Macaca fascicularis: one gene and its partners. The protein of the gene in region 1 interacts with the protein of each later gene in a pairwise test. Links are inferred from orthologs where the notes say so. Each region holds a gene or a part of one and is shown on either strand. Other genes may lie near its edges.

The links.
Region 2: the proteins of LDLRAP1 (region 1) and PSD4 interact in binary tests that used the Homo sapiens proteins (3 or more experiments, as listed by UniProt). The two-hybrid records come from large-scale screens. The link is inferred for Macaca fascicularis from reciprocal best matches to the Homo sapiens genes LDLRAP1 and PSD4.
Region 3: the proteins of LDLRAP1 (region 1) and MAPK8IP3 interact in binary tests that used the Homo sapiens proteins (3 or more experiments, as listed by UniProt). The two-hybrid records come from large-scale screens. The link is inferred for Macaca fascicularis from reciprocal best matches to the Homo sapiens genes LDLRAP1 and MAPK8IP3.

The regions. Positions count from the first base shown.
Region 1 is NC_088375.1:209,615,495-209,619,820, reverse strand, and holds the start of LDLRAP1 (low density lipoprotein receptor adapter protein 1), read left to right. Parts: upstream 1-1,507; 5' UTR 1,508-1,620; coding exon 1,621-1,708; exon of another isoform or gene 1,709-2,256; intron 2,257-4,134; exon of another isoform or gene 4,135-4,326. UniProt on the Homo sapiens protein: Adapter protein (clathrin-associated sorting protein (CLASP)) required for efficient endocytosis of the LDL receptor (LDLR) in polarized cells such as hepatocytes and lymphocytes, but not in non-polarized cells (fibroblasts).
Region 2 is NC_088387.1:20,210,464-20,213,829, reverse strand, and holds the end of PSD4 (PH and SEC7 domain-containing protein 4), read right to left. Parts: intron 2,296-3,366; coding exon 2,038-2,295; 3' UTR 528-2,037; downstream 1-527. UniProt on the Homo sapiens protein: Guanine nucleotide exchange factor for ARF6 and ARL14/ARF7. Through ARL14 activation, controls the movement of MHC class II-containing vesicles along the actin cytoskeleton in dendritic cells. Involved in membrane recycling.
Region 3 is NC_088394.1:2,471,323-2,475,521, forward strand, and holds the start of MAPK8IP3 (C-Jun-amino-terminal kinase-interacting protein 3), read left to right. Parts: upstream 1-1,365; 5' UTR 1,366-1,527; coding exon 1,528-1,845; intron 1,846-4,199.

The DNA of each region.
Region 1 (4,326 bases):
CTGCTGGCTTCTGAGCTGGGAGTAATTACAGAGGCTGAAGTTGGCCTTGCCTGCGGCACCCTCTTCTAAAAGAAGCCAGGCTGTGGCTTGGATGTGTGTGTCCTCCCTCTGGCTACTTTTGGCACAGTTTGAAAGGAAGGCACGGCATCCTAGAGAGTTAGAATAAATCCTTCCAATCCTGGAGTTAGAACATCTGTGCCTGAGCAGTTCTGGGGTTCAGACTGCCCTCCGAATGCTCCTAGGAAGCAGCATGGGGTCAGGGTCAAGGTCATGCAGATTCTTGACCCTGGCAGGTTGGAAGGATCACTAGAGATAGCATTGACTCTCATTCACAGAAAAACAAGACTCAGAGAGGGGAAGGACTTGCCTGAGGTCACACAGCAAGTCAGTGTCAGGGGCACATTCCAGATCATACCATTTCTGAGGCTACCTGGGAAGTTGCAGGGGCATGGGGTGGCCCAGCATGCTCAGGTGGTGCCAGGGAGCTACGTGGATGAGTAAAGTAAGGGCAAACTTTTATATACCGACCCTGCGCCTAACAAGGGTCTATACTGCAAGCTTGTCCAACCTGTGGCCCACTGGCCATGTGAGGTCCAGGACGGCTTCGAATGGGGCCCCACACAAATTCGTAAAGGTTCTTAAAACATTATGAGACTTTTTGGGCCGGGTGCGGTGGCTTACAGCCATCCAGCACTTTCGGAGGCTGAGGCAGGCAGATCACTTGAGGTCAGGAGTTCGAGATCAGCCTGGCCAACATGATAAAACTCCATCTCTATTAATAATACAAAAATTAGCCGGGCATGGTGGTGCATGCCTGTAATCCCAGCTACTCGGGAGGCTGAGGCACGAGAACAGCTTGAACCCGGAAGGTAGAGGTTGCAGTGACCCGAGATCGCACCACTGCACTCCAGCCTGGGCGACAGAGTAAAACTGTGTCTCAGGAAAAAAAAACAAAAAAACAAAAAAAACTCATGAGTTTTTTTTTTCTTTTGAGAGATATATGTGTGTGTATATATATATATATATATATATTTTTTTTTTTAGCTCATGGGCTGTTGTTAGTGTATTTTATGTGTGGCCCAAGACACTTCTTCCAATGTGGCCTAAGGAAGCCAAAAGTCTGGATATCCCTGATTTACAGCCTCCACTCTTTCCTAAGTCTCCCACTGCCCTGGACATCGCATTGTTCTTGTCCCTGAACAAGACCTTTCACCATTGGAGGAGCCCTCAGTCTCCCCATCTGTAAAATGGTCACTGGAAATCTAGGCCACTGCTCTCAGACCCGCAGGCTCCTACGGGGTGGGGATTGGGGAGAAGGAGGAAAGCGGGGGCGTCTGGGGCTTGCGATTCGCTATCTTCTGGCGCCTTCGGGCGGCCTCAGAAGCTCTTGGGGCCTGGACCCTGGGCCTGGACAGGGACCAGGCGGGGCGAGATCGGCGGTCGGGGGCGGGGCCCGCCTGGGGGCGTGGCCTGTCCTTCCTTGCCCCGCCCCGTCGGACGCCGCGGCGGAGCTCGCGCCGGGAGGGGAGGAGCGCGCAGCCCGCGCGCTGCAGGGCCGGGCGGAAAGTTTTTCCTGACGGAGTTTTGGTGGCGGCAGCGGTGGCGGCGCCGGAGCGGGCCATGGACGCGCTCAAGTCCGCGGGGCGGGCGCTGATCCGGAGCCCCAGCCTGGCCAAGCAGAGCTGGGGGGGCGGCGGCCGGCACCGCAGTGAGTGTGCGCGCGTCAGCCGGGCCGGGCCGGGGTCGGCGCGCGGGGCCTCCGCCGGCGCCCGGAGTGCGGCCAAGTTGGGCAGAGGCGGGGCCTGACCGGCGCTCAGGTCCCGGCGTGGCCCTTTCCCGGCCCTGCGGGGCAGGGGGTCGGCCGGGGTCAAGTTGCGCACCTACTCCCCGGCCGCTCGGTGCCGCTGCGAGGAGGGGCAGCGCTGAGGAAGGAGCCCGAGCTCGAGGTCCCCAGGTGCAGCCGGCATGGGGTGGGGTGCAGGTTGGGAGAAGAGGCCCCCGCCACCCGCGGCACCTCCCGCCCTGCTGTCCTGGCCAGCTAGGGGGAGGCAGGCCCTGGTCGTCGGTGCCTGAGGGAGGAGGAAAGGGCGCAGGAGCTTGGAAAGACGCCCCCGTCCCGCACCCCTGCGCCCCAGCCAGCGGCTGCGGCGGGCGGGAGCCCACTGGCCCGTTCTCCCGCCCCCTGTCCGACCCACCGGGCCAACTTTTGACTCCGGGTGTCCAGACACCCACCCAGGTGTGAGCCCGGGGTCGCAGGTACGTACTTGAAATTGGGAGAGAGGCCCCGCCTGGGGTGCCTCGGGAGAGCCCTACATGAGGCGGTCTAGACCCCTGCGTCCCTTCCTCTAGTCGGGTCCAGGTGACGAGCCTGGCGTCCCAACTATTTTTGAAACCTGTTTCCTCTCGCACCTTTCCCTTCGGGCTTCTAAAGTCCCTTGGGCGCCCAGGCCAACGGCAGACTCGCTGTCACCTCTCCCTGGAGCGTCTGGGAGGCTGGGAGGGGCCTCCCTGTGGCTTCTTTCTCTCCCTGTCTCTGGTTACGCTCAAGGAACTTGTCTCCTGGCACCTTCCCCTGAAGCCAGAAGACCAGCCCAGCGCAGGTCGCAGGTCTCGTTGTTTGGGAGGGAGAAGAGAGTGGCTTGCCTGGGGTCACACAGACCTTCCTGCCGGTTTTGGAGCCAGAACCCAGGACTGCTGCACACTCCCACCTCCCTGCCAGCCACTTCGGGCCACAGCCTCTCCCCTCATCAGGAAACAACTGACAGTACAGCACCCCCTCACCCCATTCCCTCTTGGCCTTACAGGGCTCCACCAGGGGAGCCCGAGCTCCCTGGTCCCAGGAATGCCAGCGTGTCTGGGCCTAGAGGGCCCGCCTTGCTCCTCCTCTGGCCCCACTCTGTTGTTCAGCTGTGGCCGCCTCCCAACTGAGACTGGCACTGGCATTGGGAATGTGGGGTGGTGCCTGCTGGTGGGGGGTGGTGTCAGAGACCCATTAGGGCTGGGCCAGTGGGCCAGGGGATGCACCGTTTATCACACTGATTGCCTCCCAAAATAGACCCTTTAAAAACTGGCAAGATTTGACCAGAACTTCTGAGAATGGCCATCTGTTCCAGCGGGAGAATCCTGCGGTTTTCTCCAGGAATGAGGGCGGGAGTGTGGCAGGGCAGCCCCCGGGGAAGTGGTTTTGAAGGAAGGGGGGCTGGCAAGAGAAGGGAGGCTAGAAAGAAACATCTCTGAATCTGGGGACGCAGAAGAGGTAGCCACTTTGGATGGTGGAAGAGAATTTCTTTTTTTTTTTTTTTTTTTGAGACGGAGTCTCACGCTGTTGCCCAGGCTGGAGTGCAGTGGCGCGATCTCGGCTCACTGCAAGCTCCGCCTCCTGGGTTCACGCCATTCTCCTGCCTCAGCCTCCTGAGTAGCTAGGACTACAGGCGCCCGCCACCGCACCTGGCTAATTTTTTGTATTTTTCGTAGAGACGGGGTTTCACTGTGGTCTCGATCTCCTGACCTTGTGATCCGCCCGCCTGGGCCTCCCAAAGTGCTGGGATTACAGGCTTGAGCCACCGCGCCCGGCCGAGAATTTCTCTTGCCATCTTCAATCTTGGGCAAGTCACTTGTCCTTTCTGATGCTTGGTTTCCTCATCTGCAACATGGGGATAAAAACTCTTACCTGGCAGGAGTATCAAGGAGATTATTGGTAATAATGCTCCCTCCTAACTGGTGGCTTTCTTCTGCCCTGCTCCTCTTCCCCCTGCCTATCCTTGGGACGCCGCCAGCATGATTAGTACTGTGGTGAGATGGGTTTTGGGGGCCCAGAGCTCGTCTGCACCTTTGGAGGAAAGGAGAGGAGCACCTCTCTCCCTCCTCCAGGCCCCAGTAAGCCCAGAGTGCTGTCCTGGAGCCTCTGGACCTGAAGGAGGGCGGGCCGAGCCCCACCTGTCCCTCGTGATGAGGTCTCAATTTCCTCACCTGTAAATTGCAAATAACAGTAGTACCTGCCTCCAACTGTTTGTGGGGATCAAATGAAATTGCGTTTGCCTGGCATAGAGGAAGACTTTGGTAAATGGTAACTACTTTTTTTGTAACTGTTTTACAACGTGTTTTTGCTTCCATTCTCTCATTGACTCCTGTGAGGTGACAGAGCAGGCCCATTTTAGAGACAAAGGAACTGAGATTCTGAGCATTGGAGTCATTGGCCCCAGACACAGAACGTCTAAGAGGCAGAGCTCCACATTCCTAGCGCAGAGGTCTTGGTGGATTCTGCCATGGGAGGAGCTGGGAGCAGTCCTCACCCACCCCAGGTTGGGCTGGCAGCCTCTGACAGCA
Region 2 (3,366 bases), on another chromosome or scaffold:
CTCAATCAAATGAGGCAATTGGACTGTGCTGCAGCTAACTGCTACTTACACATCAGAGTTACCCAACATATTTATCTATCCCCCTGACCCAGGCTGACTGCATCAGCATCCCTGGGTGTGGGCTGGGAATGTGTCTTTTCAGCACGCTTCCCCAGCAGGATAAAAGTGCATCTGTAAACTGAGAGCAGGAAACCAGGGGGCAAGACTGTCAACTCATGAAGTCAGGGACATGTTTAATTCATTTGTGAATCCCCTAGTACTGGCACATAGAAAGCGTCCCATATTATTTGCAAAATGAATGAACGAACAAATGAGCAAGTAGGTGGATGGATGATTCTGAGGTCTCCTCCAGCTTTGACAGCCTACGACCGTGTGACTCCTGCATGTGCATGAACACACAGACACAGACAATACACACACGCACAGACACACATACACACTTGAAGCAAAGAGGGATGAAGCCTGCCACACTGCAGGTGGTCCTAGCTGCCTGACCTCCCTTCTTCACACACTGACACACCTCCGTCTTTGTTGACCTGTATTTATTGTGCACCCATTGGGTGCATGGCCTAGCCCCAGGACCTGGCCGGAGACCCAAACATGGCCTCCAAGGGCCAGCCTTCCTTTGTGGAGGTCCAGGCCCCAGAGCTGATTACAACAAGCATGGGAAGGGAGGAGGGTGGCCCAGCAGGAAGGCCGGGGAGGCAGTGCGTCAGCCGGCAGGCAGCAGTGGGTAGCAGTGCCCCTCTTGGCGGGCAGCCTACTTGCACACTTGGCTGAACAGAGACAATGGTGGCTGCTCCCTCCGGCCCAGCCTCCTTCCTACAGGCAGAGCCCCAAGTCCATGAGTCTCCGGAACCTCCCTCAGAGAACAAGTCCAGCTGGGAGGCAGCCAGAGGGCAGGACGAGGAGATTTCCCAGGGGAGAGCAGCAGAGACCCTCTGAGCTGCCAGAGATGGGGAAGGGGTCCAGGCACCCCACAGGAAGGAAGCTTTAAGGCATGTGTAGGAAGGAGCACAGAAGAGTCTCCCAAGCCTGGCCTGGGCCTCACCTGGTCTCCAGCCTCCATCCCATCCCCCACAACTCTCCTGAGCCGTGGCTCCTGCCAGGCAGACCCCTAAGGGAAACTGTCACCACCTTTTACTGCTCTATCCTGTCCAGTGGTCTGAACCTAGAGAACCTCCTTCCCTGCTCTGTTGGAACAAAGGCTTCTTGTTCCCAGGGTTCCAGGGTTCGCTGCAAAGCTCTGGAGGCCCCACCCCGCCCAGCCCTCACTCATGCCACCAGCCCTGCTCTGTTGATGGGCAGTTGGGTATGTGAGACTGTTTCATCTGCTTCAGGGGAAAGGACGACTGTAGGGGGAAAGGAGACAAAGGCACGGGGCCCCACAGCCATGCGGAGCCCTTGAAGCCCCCCAAGGTCTCTGCCCAGAAGGCTGTCCCTTCAGTGGGCAGGACCTTAGCGACTCTGCTCCCTGGGTCACAGGAGGCTGGTTGGGAATCTCTCAAGAGTCCCTGATTCACTCTCCTGGGGCCTCCCCAGGAACGTCAGCTAATTCCCAGAGCAAGACCATCCTCAGGACTGTGGCTCCCCTGGCTGGGTTGCCCAGGGGCCTCTGCTGCCCCAAGCTCTCCCCCAGAAGCCAAGGCCACACCACGTATGCACTGGTTCTCAAACAAGTGCTGAGTTCCCAGCAGGTCTAGGAAATGAGGCCAGTCTGGATTCTGGGGCCTGCAGGGTGACATGGGATGAGCTCCGGGAGGAAAGTCAAGTCCTCAACCTCCCTCTTCCCTTGGGCATGGCCAGGGACTGGGGCTCTGGAGGGACTGCCATGGGGGTGGGGGGCAGCACAGCAGTATTAGGAAAGCTTCAGTGAGCATGAGAATAAGGGCCACAGGGAAATGAGGTTTGTCCTTCAGCAGGGAAAGGAGGTGCCTCATCCATCATGGTGGACTCATTGAAATCAGTCTCCTCCAGGGAGGTCCATCTCAAGTGTACCGTGGAGCAGGGGCCAGTGTCTCCGAGGTGGTGCTGGCTTCACAGCTGATTGCGGTTCCGCTTGGGGATGATCTTCCGGTAGGTTCTGCGCTCTGAGATGTTGCGCTTCACCTTGGCTGTGGTGGGAGCCTCATCCTGGTGCAGGGACGGGCTTGAGTGGGACTTCTTCAGGCTGAGCTTGGGCTCCTGAGTGCCTCCAGCTTCCCTCCCCAGCTGCTCCTCCCACAGGTCCAGAGCATTGGAGGGGCAGTGCAGGCGGGCCACCAGCAGCTCCACGTAGGTCTCGTAGCGGGTTTTCTGCAACACACAGTCCCCACCACCTTAGCACCATCCTGGCTCCAGGCCGGGAGGAGGCTGGAATCGTGAGGGACAGCTCTCAGGTACTTGAAGCTAAGGTGATACAGACCTCTGCAGAAAGAGGGCTGGACCAACAGTGAGTGTCAGTATAATGCTTGGGCAAGCAGACTGCAGAGCACACCTCTGGATAGTATTATAATGACACATATCAGCCCAGCCCTGTTCTAATAATAACCAACCCCTTGGAGTGCTGTAACTAACATCTCTATGCCACGTTCCATCTTTGAGGCACTAAAAGATGTGTCACCCACTATGCCTGAGAGCTTTGCAGCCCTACACACAAACAGCTCACATCTGTACAGCCCTAATTGGGTCTGAATAGCATTTTAACAATTGGCATCTGTGGAGCATGATGCTCACCACCCTCATCTGCTTAACACTGTACTACTAAGGCCCCTGCAGCTAGCATCCTTAGGATATGGTTTCCAGTTTACAAAGTGCTTCCTCACCCTCCATCCCATTGGATCCTCATGCCAGCCCTGGGAGGGGCACAAATCATTGTGGAAGGGAGGGCTGGTGGCTTGCTAAATGTCCTAGCTGGTCAGTGGGAGGAAGAGGTTGGGTCCTCACAGCCACACCCTGAAGCCTCTGAAAAGTGGGGAGTTCACAGCCATGGATACAACCACCAAGCTAAGGGATAGGCTGGGGCCTTGAAAGAGGCAGAAGGCTGCATGAGGGTGCCGTGGGGACAGGCAGGAGGCAATGTTGATTCCCACTTCCTGGGTCTCTGCCTCTGGGTGGCCTCTGATTCCCTCTATTTTCACATTGCATTAACCTATGCTTCCTCCCCAGTGGGCCCTCACCCTAAGCAGGCACTCAGGACCCCTGAAGCAGGCACCCAGTGTTAGGATCCCGGATGAAGTGATGTGACACCAAAACAGAATTGGGGAATGTGGGTGGATGGGTGAGGGTTGGGGGAGACTAGGGGATAAAACATTTCAACATGGGCTGTAGAGCCAACAAAAGTCATTACTGGCCAGGGGCAGTGGATCACACCTGTAATCCCAGCAC
Region 3 (4,199 bases), on another chromosome or scaffold:
GGGGAGCCTGAGCCAAGAGTCAACCAGGATGACACGCAGAATCAGACCTGCAAAGGCTGCAGATACTGTAGTTATGAGGCATACACACAAAGCTTAAAGATAAATACGTGGTTGGAAGTATAAGAGCCTATCAAAACTGCTAGAATATAAGAAATCAAATAGGACAAAAATAGAATAATTGGCTGGGTGCAGTGGCTCACGCCTGTAATCCCAGCACTCTGGGAGGCCAAGGGAGACGGGTGGATGACTTGAGGTCAGCAGTTCGAGACCAGCCTGGCCAACATGGTGAAACCCTGTCTCTACTAAAAATAAAAAAAAATTAAAAAAAAAAGATTCAGGCGTTAATGGCGCATCGGTAGTCCCAGCTACTCAGGAGGCTGAGGCACGAGAATCGCTTGGACCCAGGAGGCGAAGGTTACAGTGAGCCGAGATCGTCGCACTCCAGCCTGGGCGACAAGAGCGAAACACCGTCTCAAAAAAAAAAAAAAATCGCTGAAATTAATAACCCAATGGATGGGTTAAACAGATTGCACATAGCTGAAAGGAAACCGAAAATCTGGCCGGGCGCGGTGGCTCTCGCCTGTCATCCCAACACTCTGGGAGGTCGAGGCGGGCGGATCACTTGAGTCCAGCCTGGCCAACATGGCGAAACCCCGTCTCTAAAATACCAAATACTAAAAGTACAAAAATCCCAGCTACTCCGGAGGCTGAGGCAGGAGAATCACTTGAACCCGGAAGGCGGAGCTTGCAGTGAGCCGGGATCGCGCCACTGCACTCCAGCCTGGGGGACAGAGCGAAACTCCATCTCAAAAAAAAAAACCACGAAAATCTGAAGCAGTCACACAGTGCGTTAGGGACAAGTGGGCGAAAGGAAGGAGGCCACGCTGCTGGGTTTCAGGATGAGATGGGCGTTGAGGGTGCATTCACAGAATCCCGGGAGGAGCCAGCTGACTGCGGAAGGCACTAGGAGAGGGGAGGCACTAGGAAGGGAGGCGCTGGGCGTGGACTGAGCGGGGCGCAGTGCTGTAGGGAACGCAGGCTCATCAGGGCGGCCGGGGTGGAGGCGCAGGCGCTGAGCCTTCACCTAAAGTCGCCGGTGTGTGCAGAGCCCGGAGATGCGACCGAGGTCACCGAAAGCCCAGGGTGGCGGGGACATGCTTAAGCTACCGCGCGCTGGGGATAGCGACCACCGCCGTCCCGCGGATCCCACCATCCTGGAGAACATCTCCCTCTGCCCAACTCAGCCGCGCTTCCGGCCCGAAGCCCGGCTTCCTCTGACGTCACGGCCCCTGCGCCCCCTGGCGTCGCGGCTGCGGCTGGGCGCGCGGGCACCGCCCCCTCTGGCTGGAGGGCGGGACTTCCGGCGAATGAGTGACGGGCGCTTCCTCGGCAGCGGCGGCGGCTGAGCCCTGAGGCGACAGCAGCTGCGGGAGGCGACGGGCCGCGGCCTGCGGGACCTGAGGCAGCCGGGGAGGGCCGGGCGCGCCGGCCAGATAGCGAGCCGCGCTGGCGGCGGCGGTGGCCGCGATGATGGAGATCCAGATGGACGAGGGCGGCGGCGTGGTGGTGTACCAGGACGACTACTGCTCCGGCTCTGTGATGTCGGAGCGGGTGTCGGGCCTGGCGGGCTCCATCTACCGCGAGTTCGAGCGCCTCATCCACTGCTACGACGAGGAGGTGGTCAAGGAGCTCATGCCGCTGGTGGTGAACGTGCTGGAGAACCTAGACTCAGTGCTCAGCGAGAACCAGGAGCACGAGGTGGAGCTGGAGCTGCTGCGCGAGGACAACGAGCAGCTGCTCACCCAGTACGAGCGCGAGAAGGCGCTGCGCAGGCAGGCGGAGGAGGTGCGTGGGCCGCGGGACCCGCCCGCATCCCCGTCCCGGACCCCCAGCCAGCCCCGGGTCCGGGACCCACACCTGTCCCGACCTCAGACCTCGCCCCGGCGCCCCGGACCCCCAGACCCCGCCCCGAGACCCGCCTGGACCCCCATCCCCCTCCCCGGGACTTCCCCACCCCCTGTGCCCGCCGTGAGACACCTCCCTAGAGCACCCCCCGCCTGCCCCGGAACCCCACCCCGATCCCCGGGGACCCCCTTTTCCGCCCAGGCCTGGGCCCTGGCCCCCTCCTCCGGGCCCCCAGCCCTGAACGCTCAGCCCCAAACCCGATGTGCCTGGCATCATCCTCGGGGAGCTCAGCTTCAAAGCCAGGCCTCACTCTCCCCTCCCCACCCACCTCTGCATGCCAATTCCCTTTGCTTTCGTGCGTGTATTCAGTCAAAACCGTTTCCCGACCCCAAGTGCTACCTCTGTTGGCTGCCATTCTAAACCCACCTAGAAAAGGAATCTTTGGTGTTCTTAGGGTGCTGCAGCCGTCTGTTGATGTTGGAGACCTTGCCTTGTCCCTAAGTCCGTATTTTGAAGGTCTGTGACATGGGTGAATTGGGTGGTTGATGTAAACACAGAACAAGGCCGCAGGCGGGCTGCTCCTCTGTCAGCAGAAGGAACACTCGAGTTTCTGGAGGTGATCTCTTTGCCCCTTGGTGCCTTGCTTGGCGAGATTGTTAGCTGATGTAGCCAGGGCTGAGAAACCACTCTGGCTTCTGAGGAGTTAAAAGTCTGAGTTTGAAGCGTTTAATTCTGTACTAGGATGTCTCCATAACCTGGAAATCGCTTACTTGTGAAGCAGTTACAAGAGCCGTGCCCTGTGGGGAGCTCCACTTCGCTACATTCATTCACCATCAGATACTGAGCTCGGCCTGCCTGCGTGCGGGCCCAGAGCCTCGCCCTTTGTGGGAAACAGGTTCAGGGAGGCTGGTTCCCATCCCTACTTTGCCTCTGTGACCTTGGCCTGTCGACTGCCTGGGATTTGATTTTCCATCAAAGGAGTGAATTGCACTAGGCCGATCTCTAAGCCCAGAAATTGCCTCATTCTAGGAGTTAGGTAATGCTGTTTGACTTATGAATAGACGTGTCTTAGGAAATGAGCTTCAATTCCTTTTCAATTAATTTGGATTAACACATTCTTGACTTTAATAGGAAAATAAAAGATGGTGTCAGTATTTTGGCTTTTTCTGAAACCAAGGTGATTTATGGCCTAGTTTGGTTTAAAGCGTGTTTATAAAAATAATAACAGTATGTTGTGTCATTCCTCCTTTACTGCGGTTTCTATTGCGTTTGGGTCATGTCTGTCGGGAGGCGGTTGTGTGTTGATTGGAATGCCGCGGTTCCAGCAAAACTGAGTTAAAGTTCTCAACCTAAGGGAACGCAAGGGTTCATGGATTTTGGAGCTCAGGGTGACTGTAGGCATTTTACTGGGAAGGAAACTTGTCCCAAGAAGTGGAGGGGCTGCACCAAGGTCACCCACCCCAGAAGTGCCCAGCCAGGATGCAGAGTGAACCCGACGCTGGCCTGGGTGCTTGCTTCCATGTCAGGCAGCTGCAGGCACCGGAGGGCTGCTCCCCAGAAGCCTGGAGTGCCAGGGCTCCCCTCGCTCAGCTGTGGAACTGTGGTTGCCCCGCTCTGCTGGGCACTGCCCTCCACTTCTCTCCCACACTCAGTGGCCTGACCTAGATTTCAGGTGGGTTTCTTTTCTTTCACCTTGTACCTATGTGGTCAGTATAGTGGACAAGAAGGAACTGACAGGAGAAAATCAAGATGGACAACGTTAAGGCTAGAAATTATAACCTTGCCGCTTAAAAATGAGCTCTGCATGAGATAGGCGCTGCCCAGCTCTGTGCGGTTCACATGTAAGCTGCCGTGAGTGCATCTGCCCTCCCCCAGGGCTCCCGCTGGACTGAGCTGGCGGGTGTGCTTGCGGTTTGCAAAGCTATCGCCTTTAGTCTGAGACCCACCATTGCTCCAGCTCTTTAGAGAAGCTGCAGGGAGAGCTTCCGAGCGGAGCCCCGAAGCCAACCAATGCTTGGCCAGCATGGAGGCTGTGATTAAACGCTAATAGTGCGCCCTTGGAAAGACCTGAGGGCCTTACAACTAAGGAAAAGGGCTCGATGCTGTCAACATTTGGCATGCCTCCTCCTCTACTGAATCAAGCAGACCTTCATTTCCAGCTTTGTAGACCATTGCGCCCCGTGGGTCAGCGTCTTTTCTAGGCAGGGACTTGTGATCACATAGACGTGTGTCTGATAAGAGGGCAGCGGGACGTCACTCGCTGCAGGCATGTCTTGTTGCAGAGGAGCTCCTGG